Linked DNA regions of Oryctolagus cuniculus. The protein of the gene in region 1 interacts with the protein of each later gene in a biochemical or structural test. Links are inferred from orthologs where the notes say so. Each region holds a gene or a part of one and is shown in the gene's direction. Other genes may lie near its edges.

Region 1 (3,567 bases):
TAGCCATTTGGGGAGTGAGCCAGTGGGTGGAAGATTTTTCCCTCCCACTCTCTGTGCTCTTTCAAATACATACATACATATATAAGTCTTTAAAAAAAATCACGGAAAAATGTGAATTAAGAAACATTCATATGGAATTAAATTTTTTTAAAGATTTATTTATTCATTTGAAAATCAGAGTTACAGAGATAGAGGAAGAGAGAGAGAGAGCACTCTTTCATCCTCTGGTTTGCTCCCCAGATAGCTGTAATGGCCAGGGATGGGCCAGACTGAAGCCAGGAGCCAGGAGATTCATTCAGGTCTCCCACGTGGGTAGCAGGGCCCCAAACACTTGGGTCATCTGCTGCTGCTTTTCCCAAGCTATTAGCCTGGAGCAGCTAGGACATAAACTGGCACCCGTATGGGATGCTGGGGTCTCAGGCAGTGGCTTTATTTACCTTTTATGCCACAATGCCTGCCCCAAAAAGTTTTGCAAAATTTGTTTTTGAAATTTTAATTTTATTTCCCACAAACTTTTTTGAAGTCCCCACATACATGTCAGCAGTAATGTAACCTTTTCAACCCAAGGTTCTTTGAATATGAGGATCCAGACCTTTGGCTATAAAGGGTCAAATGTACTATTATCCTCATTGTAAAAGTCAAGAAAGTGAGATAGAGGGGCCAGCCTTGAGGCATAGTGGGTAAAGCAGCAGGTGGAAGGTCTCTTTGTCTGTCTCCCTCCTTCTCTCTCTGTAATTCTGACTTTCAAAATAAATAAATAAATCTTTTTTTTTAAAAAAGGAAACAGAGACACAGAGGTTAGATAGCATGCAAAAAGGTACTACAGCCAGGAGAAAAGCCTTTAGCTTAAAACTGTGCTGTGAGTCTGGAGGGGTAGTGGGTTCTTTTAAGTGCCATAATGTTTCCCCTCTCTGTTTCAGGTTTTGAAGTGCAGGAAGAAGGCTATCTGGCAAAAATCCTGATCCCTGAAGGCACGAGAGATGTCCCTCTAGGAACACCACTCTGTATCATTGTAGAAAAAGAAGCAGATATATCGGCATTTGCTGACTATAGGCCGACTGAAGTGGCTGATTTAAAACCGCAAGCACCACCACCTGTCCCACCCCCGGTAGGCATACTCCTGGAATTAGGTGATGCCCTGCATTCCTTTCAACGCCAAGATCCTGTGAATGAGGGAGACAGTTCATTGACATTTGTGGCTGTCTCTAGAGGGTGTGTCATGCTGCACTGTTAACCTCAGGGTGGATAGTTTTTTTCTTTTACTTTTCTTTCTTTCTTTTTTTTTTTTTTTTTTTGACAGACAGAGTGGACAGTGAGAGAGAGAGACAGAGGGAAAGGTCTTCCTTTGCCATTGGTTCATCCTCCAATGGCCGCCACGGCCGGCGCACCGTGCTGATCCGAAGGCAGGAGCCAGATGCTTCTCCTGGTCTCCCATGGGGTGCAGGGCCCAAGCACCTGGGCCATCCTCCACTGCACTCCCGGGCCATAGCAGAGAGTTGGCCTGGAAGAGGGGCAACCGGGACAGAATCCGGCACCCCGACCGGGACTAGAACCCGGTGTGCCGGCGCCGCAAGGCGGAGGATTAGCCTAGTGAGCCGCGGCGCCGGCCAGTTTTTTTCTTATAGCTCTTTTCTGCCTGCTATCTTGAGTCCTGCTGAGAGCAAATGTGAGGTGACATGATCTCTTTCTGCTTTAGGTGTAGATATGCTTCTGGAAGGTAAGGTTTCATTTGGCATTTTCTGTTTAATTTACCAGATAATCTGTCACTTTCATTCCTGTTGGTATTTACATATTATAGAGGAACAAGCATATCTTTGTAATACATTGACAGAATATGACTTGTTTAGCATAGAATTTAGTATGCCACTATATGTGTCGTAGCATACACTGTTGATCTATAACATGAACTTGTGTTAACTGCAAGCCAAATAACATGTATGATGACAATTCTAGATGCTAGAGTTATGCGACTTTAGATGAGGTACACATTTCTGTCAGAGAAAACCTGATTCCTAATTGCTGGGTGTTTATGAGGAGCTGGCAAGTGGCAATGTTGATTTAAGATACTTTGGGCCGGTGCCGCGGCTCACTAGGCTAATCCTCCACCTTGCGGCGCCGGCACACCGGGTTCTGTCCCGGTTGCCCCCCTTCCAGGCCAGCTCTCTGCTGTGGCCAGGGAGTGCAGTGGAGGATGGCCCAAATGCTTGTGCCCTGCACCCCATGGGAGACCAGGAGAAGCACCTGGCTCCTGCCATCAGATCAGCGCGGTGCACCGGCCGCATTGCGCCGGCCGTGGGGCCATTGGACGGTGAACCAATGGCAAAGGAAGACCTTTCCCTCTGTCTCTCTCTCACTGTCCACTCTGCCTGTCAAAAACAAGAAAAAAAAAGAAAAAAAAAAAGATACTTTGAACATGGAACCTTCCATCATTTTATATTTTGAAATTAGGTAAGGTAAAAACAAAAACCGTGTTGGAAGTACAGAAGAATGGGAATAAAGAAGTGATATGAGATTAAAATGAAAAAAGGTTGTAGGGATATTATATATTGGTTAGAAGTATTATATTCCACTCATAGACAGGGTGGGAAATGTCCAGCTTGTTATCAGTATAAGGCCCATGAAATTATCTTGTCTGGCCCTGCAAAGGCAACTGTAGGTGGAACTCAAAATTCAATTAATCTAAGCCGGCGCCACGGCTCACTAGGCTAATCCTCCGCCTAGCGGCGCCGGCACACTGGGTTCCAGTCCCGGTTAGGGCGCCGGATTCTGTCCCGGTTGCCCCTCTTCCAGGCCAGCTCTCTGCTGTGGCCAGGGAGTGCAGTAGAGGATGGCCCAGGTGCTTGGGCCCTGCACCCCATGGGAGACCAGGAAAAGCACCTGGCTCCTGGCTCCCGCCATCGGATCAGCGCGGTGCGCCGGCCGCAGCGCGCCGGCCGCGGCGGCCATTGGAGGGTGAACCAACGGCAAAGGAAGACCTTTCTCTGTCTCTCTCTCTCACTGTCCACTCTGCCTGTCAAAAAAATAAAAAAAATAAAAAAAAAAAAAATTCAATTAATCTATAGTAGGCTCATTTTAAAGTTGATTTTTTATTTTTTGTAGTATTTTTTAATTTTGTAGTATCCAAATGACCCTTGTCAGAAAAAAAATTTCCCTATCCTTACAGAGTAAGATAACTTTATTCTGTCCTGGACATAAAGAATTGTCCTTGCCATTCATTTTGCTATATTGTGTTGGTTAAAAGTTAAAAAAAAATTCATTCTGATCTTTTAAAAAAGATGAACATTGCTTAATTAAGTTTTAATTTCTTTATAAAATGGAAACCGAATCTTTCAGGCCGGTCTCTGTGGTGATGAATCAATAATTTGTAGCTTTTTTCGAAAGGTGGCCACAGCTGCTCCAACTCCTCAGCCTTCTGCCCCTACACCTTCAGCCGCCTTGCCAGCTGCTCCTGCTGGACCAAAAGGACGGGTGTTTGTCAGCCCTCTGGCAAAGAAGCTGGCAGCAGAGAAAGGCATTGATCTTACACAAGTAAAAGGTAAGTCTGTTTCTACGGAGAGTGAAAAGTCA
Region 2 (4,231 bases), on another chromosome or scaffold:
GCCCCTATGGGATGCCGGCACTTCAGGCCAGGGTGTTAACCTGCTGTGCCACAGTGCCGGCTCCTCATTGTTAATTTCTTATTGTTCCTGATTTTCAAGTTAAAATTTATCTTAGGTATGTGTCTACAGGGAAAAAGTGCGTGTGTAGGGGGTCTTAACAGCCACTGGGGGTCTTGGAGCCTATTCCCCCAGCATGTAAGGGTAGGCTGTGATAATCACCTTCTGTTGTAATTATTTTCTTATGCATCTGTTTTCCAAACCGAGAAACGAAATGATCGAGGGACAAGGTCTAGTCTCGGTGCTGTCTGTGCTTCCTGATCCCAGGACAAAGCCCAGCACGTATTAGGCGCCTGATCAGCCCTGGCCAAGGACAGTCCCCTCCAAGAGCAGAGAGCATCCAAGTGGCCAGCAGAACTCAGGTCCGGGATGGAACATACCTCCTCTGACCACAAGAGGGCGCGCCACGTTTCCTATAAGCGAGCCCGGCTGCTGGGGGCGCCCGGGGCGCACCTGCTCCCGGAACCTGTCCCCAAAGAAGCCCAGGGGTTTCGAGGGGCGGAGGGGCGCGCTCCATGGCCAAGGCTTTGTGTTGTGCTGATTCGCTAAAGGTGCTCGAAAATTAGCACCTGTTGTGAGTGTTGAGTCTAGCGGTTAAGACGACCCCTCCACCCACATCGGAGTCCCCGGGTTCCATCCCTAGGCCCGGCGGACGGGGCGCTCGCTTTCAGTACCTGTCTCTCCTCCTCTCAAACGGAAAAGGAGATCGCACTGGTGGCAACTGCTGTCTCCACCGCCGCCTGTCGCGAGGGTTTTGACTCCGGTGTTATTCGATGGGAAAGGCTACCGCTACTTTACCCGGAGCCACTCGGGCCTCCATGGAGGCGGCTGGGTTGCGCACCTAGGCTTGCGTGCCGGTCCCCAGTGTGGCGCACATACACAGTCCGGGGCGCTGTCATCTGCGCTCGGAACCCAGAGGACCCCGGGGAGGGAGAGCAGGCAGGCATCAGAACCAGTGAAACGGGCATCTCTTGCAGAAAGGGGATTCGTTGAAAGCCACCTGGACAGGTCAAGAAATGAGAGGTTTAAAAGGACCTAGAGACAGCTGGGGGCCCGGAAAGGCGCAGGTGGAAGCGCGGGCGAAAGGGCTCCAGGAAGGAAGGGGTTAACCCGGGCCCAGTCCAGGGAAGGAAAGGGAGGAGTGTGCGGGCTGGAGGCGGGACTCCGGCTCTGCCTCCGGAAAACAACAGGCCGCCTCGGGCAGGGACGGGGTTAACGGGGCGGGCCCAGAGGGAAGCCACGTGCCGAGGCGGAAGCCCATTGGCTCTCCCGGAGTTGTTTGTGAACATACATTGGCGACGTCGGGGCGCCGCGACGAGCCCATTGGCTGAGCCTTTCAAGACCCACCAGGGCCAGGGTAGGGAGGAGGAGGTGGTCGAACCGCGTCGCTGGGCCGGGCCGGGCCGGGCCGAGCCGAGCGCGAGCGCTACCCGCGGCCGGGACCGCAGCCCGAGCCCGAGCCCGAGCCCGAGCCCGAGCCCGAGCCCGAGCCCGAGCCCGAGCCCGAGCCCGAGCCGCGGCCGCCGCCATGCGCTGGGTCCGGGCTCTGCTGAAGAATGCGTCCCTGGCAGGGGCGCCCAAGTACATCGAGCACTTCAGCAAGTTCTCCCCGTCGCCCCTGTCCATTAAGCAGTTTCTGGACTTCGGTACGGAGGGGGCGGCGGTGGCCCGCGGGGGCGGGGGGCGTCGAAGGGACCCTGTTCCCGAAGGACCGACACGGAGGCCAGGAGAGGCCCGAGGGACAGGGACGAGCTGCCTGGAAGAGTACAGAAAGGAAAGGGTTAATGGGGAGTCAGGGTTAGCGCCTGCCCGGAAAGGGTTAAGGACTCCCCGAGAAGGGACTCCCCACTGGACTGTTCCAGGGGACGGGGGCGCTGAGATGGAGGGGTCCAAGGTTTCTTCCCCGGCTCTCAGAGGGGTCTTGGGCAGTGAGCGGTGATGACGTTGGGGCAGGGAGGGAGCCGGGTGGTGTGCAGGCACCGAAGGGTTAATAATGTTGCCCAGGTGACTGGGAGAGTCTGGGGGCCTGAGGAGATGGCAAGCAGGCCGGTGGGAGTGCTGGCAGAGTGTGGAGATGCAGCCATCTGGAAGGAGACCTGGGTGGGCCGTGCTTGAGGGCCGAGAGGCTCCTGGGCAGAGTGAGACAAAGCCAGGGGACCCTTTGGGAAGAAGGTGCCAACAGGCCCCCCATCGCTGGGTCCCCCTGACTTGTGCACCTGCACCGACTGAAGGGGCTGCACCCCAGCTGCCTCAGTGGGCAAGGACACTTGAAGATCAAATCTGTCCCAGCCTGGCCGTCTGTCCTTGCTGGGCAGGAGCCCAGGACGCCATGAGATGGAGTCAGGCCACTTGTACCCTCCCTGGGCTGCCCCTGGGCTGCCCCTGGAGCGCCCCCCGCCAGCATTCTGGGGGTGGCTCCAGGACAGGCGGAGGTGGCCGTGCCAGCGGGGCAGCTCAAACAGGCATTGTATGGGCCTTGTCTGTCTGCACAGTGGTTCCGTGGTGCCAGCTGGAGACTGGGGGGGGTGGGAGGGCAGGCCAGGTCTCTCCAGAGTCCAGCTGATAGTGCGTGGCTTCGGTTACAGCTGCGTCACGGACAGGAGCCGGCAGGGGGTGGCAGCCAAGACATAGGGCACCTTTTCCCCGGGATGAGTCCGCGGGCCCCCTTCCCTGTTTGAGTCTTGAGCTGCCCCTAGGTAGGAAAGCCTTCCGGGCCCCTCCCAGCCCCAGCAGCTCTCAGCTGCAGAAGCGTTGCAGCTGGCAGGCCTGCATAGTGGAGCTTGGTCCGCTTATACAGGGTGGGAAACAGAACTCCAAAGGGTGGGACACACCTGGGTGGCTGAGATGCCCTGCCTCCAGGCCGGCTTATTCAACCTGTCACCGCTCCTTTATCCTCCACCCAGCCCATGCTGTTTGGACTCCAGTCCTCAGGCTCCATTTGTGCACATGTGGGCATTACTACAGGGGTGGCGCTACACTGTGCATCCAGGCCAGCCCGGCTGAGGCCGGCTGGGCCCCTGCAGCCATGGAGGTCTTAGGCATACCTCCTCCCAGCCAGGACCTAGCCCAGGTAGGGATGTGTTTCCCAGGCTCCTTTGCTCACTGAGGCAGTGTCTACCAGGAGGGAAAGAGAGAAGGGAGGTGGCTTAGGCTAGAGGCAGCCCCAGGTGGGCCCGGGCTGAAGCCTGGGGCAGGGCAGTGTGGTGGGTGTCTCGCTGTGCACCAGAAATGAAGGGTTCAGCTCACTGGGTGCTGTGGTTTCCAGCTCCGGGGGCTCCCCGTCCTCTCTCTCCCTGCAGGTTCCAGCAATGCCTGCGAGAAGACCTCCTTCACCTTCCTCCGGCAGGAGCTGCCCGTGCGCCTGGCCAACATCATGAAAGAGATCAACCTGCTTCCGGACCGCGTCCTCGGCACGCCCTCCGTGCAGCTGGTGCAGAGCTGGTGAGACCCCTGGCTTGCTCCCCACACCTCCCACCCCACCGTCAGGTGTCCAGAGCTGCTGGCGGGGGGGGGGGGGTCTCTGTGCTCCCAGCAGCCTTGAGGAGGGTGAGGAGAGAGGCTAGCGGGTTACCCCAGGCCAGTGGGGCTCCTAGGCCAATGCGGGGTCAAGGTCAAGCTCCTGGCCTCCGTATCTGCCAAGACAGCCCCGTTCTTACCATTCTCCTTTCTCTGGAAACACCTAGGACAATCATTGTTTTCACAGCTACAGCGCTGGTCGAGCCGATGCCAGCGTTAGCCCTCTTGGGTAATATTTACTTGGAGTAACTTTTTGGGAAACACAGAAAGAAGAGCCACCTCCTAAAACACATTATATAATCCAAGCTACCAGTCAGACCCAGAGAGACTCAGGTATGGCACAGTCCCTCCCCAAAGAGCTTTGGATGGGGCAAAGACCAGAAGTGTCTTGCATGTAGCCGCAGGAGCGGGCGAAAGCCTTGGTGAAGTTCACGCTCAAGCTCTGGCCAAGGTCAGGTGGCTGGAATACCTTAGCCAGCGGCCAGTCACGTGACCAGCAAGCCAGGCTGTGCTCTGCCTGCCACTGGGATACGGCAGTGAATAACCAGCATGGGTCTTTTGTGTCCCCGTGCAGCCCTGCACAGGGTCTTCGGGATTTGCAGGATGCAAATCCGTGCTGTCCACACCTGCTCTGATCCTGGCACCACACTGGGTGTGA

The links.
Region 2: the proteins of DLAT (region 1) and PDK2 form a complex in vitro, tested with the Homo sapiens proteins (2 studies listed by BioGRID). The link is inferred for Oryctolagus cuniculus from reciprocal best matches to the Homo sapiens genes DLAT and PDK2.

The regions. Positions count from the first base shown.
Region 1 is NC_091432.1:103,982,042-103,985,608, forward strand, and holds part of DLAT (dihydrolipoyllysine-residue acetyltransferase component of pyruvate dehydrogenase complex, mitochondrial), read left to right. Parts: intron 1-920; coding exon 921-1,108; intron 1,109-3,381; coding exon 3,382-3,535; intron 3,536-3,567.
Region 2 is NC_091448.1:26,068,014-26,072,244, forward strand, and holds the start of PDK2 (pyruvate dehydrogenase kinase, isozyme 2), read left to right. Parts: upstream 1-1,416; 5' UTR 1,417-1,585; coding exon 1,586-1,703; intron 1,704-3,356; coding exon 3,357-3,498; intron 3,499-4,231. UniProt on the Homo sapiens protein: Kinase that plays a key role in the regulation of glucose and fatty acid metabolism and homeostasis via phosphorylation of the pyruvate dehydrogenase subunits PDHA1 and PDHA2.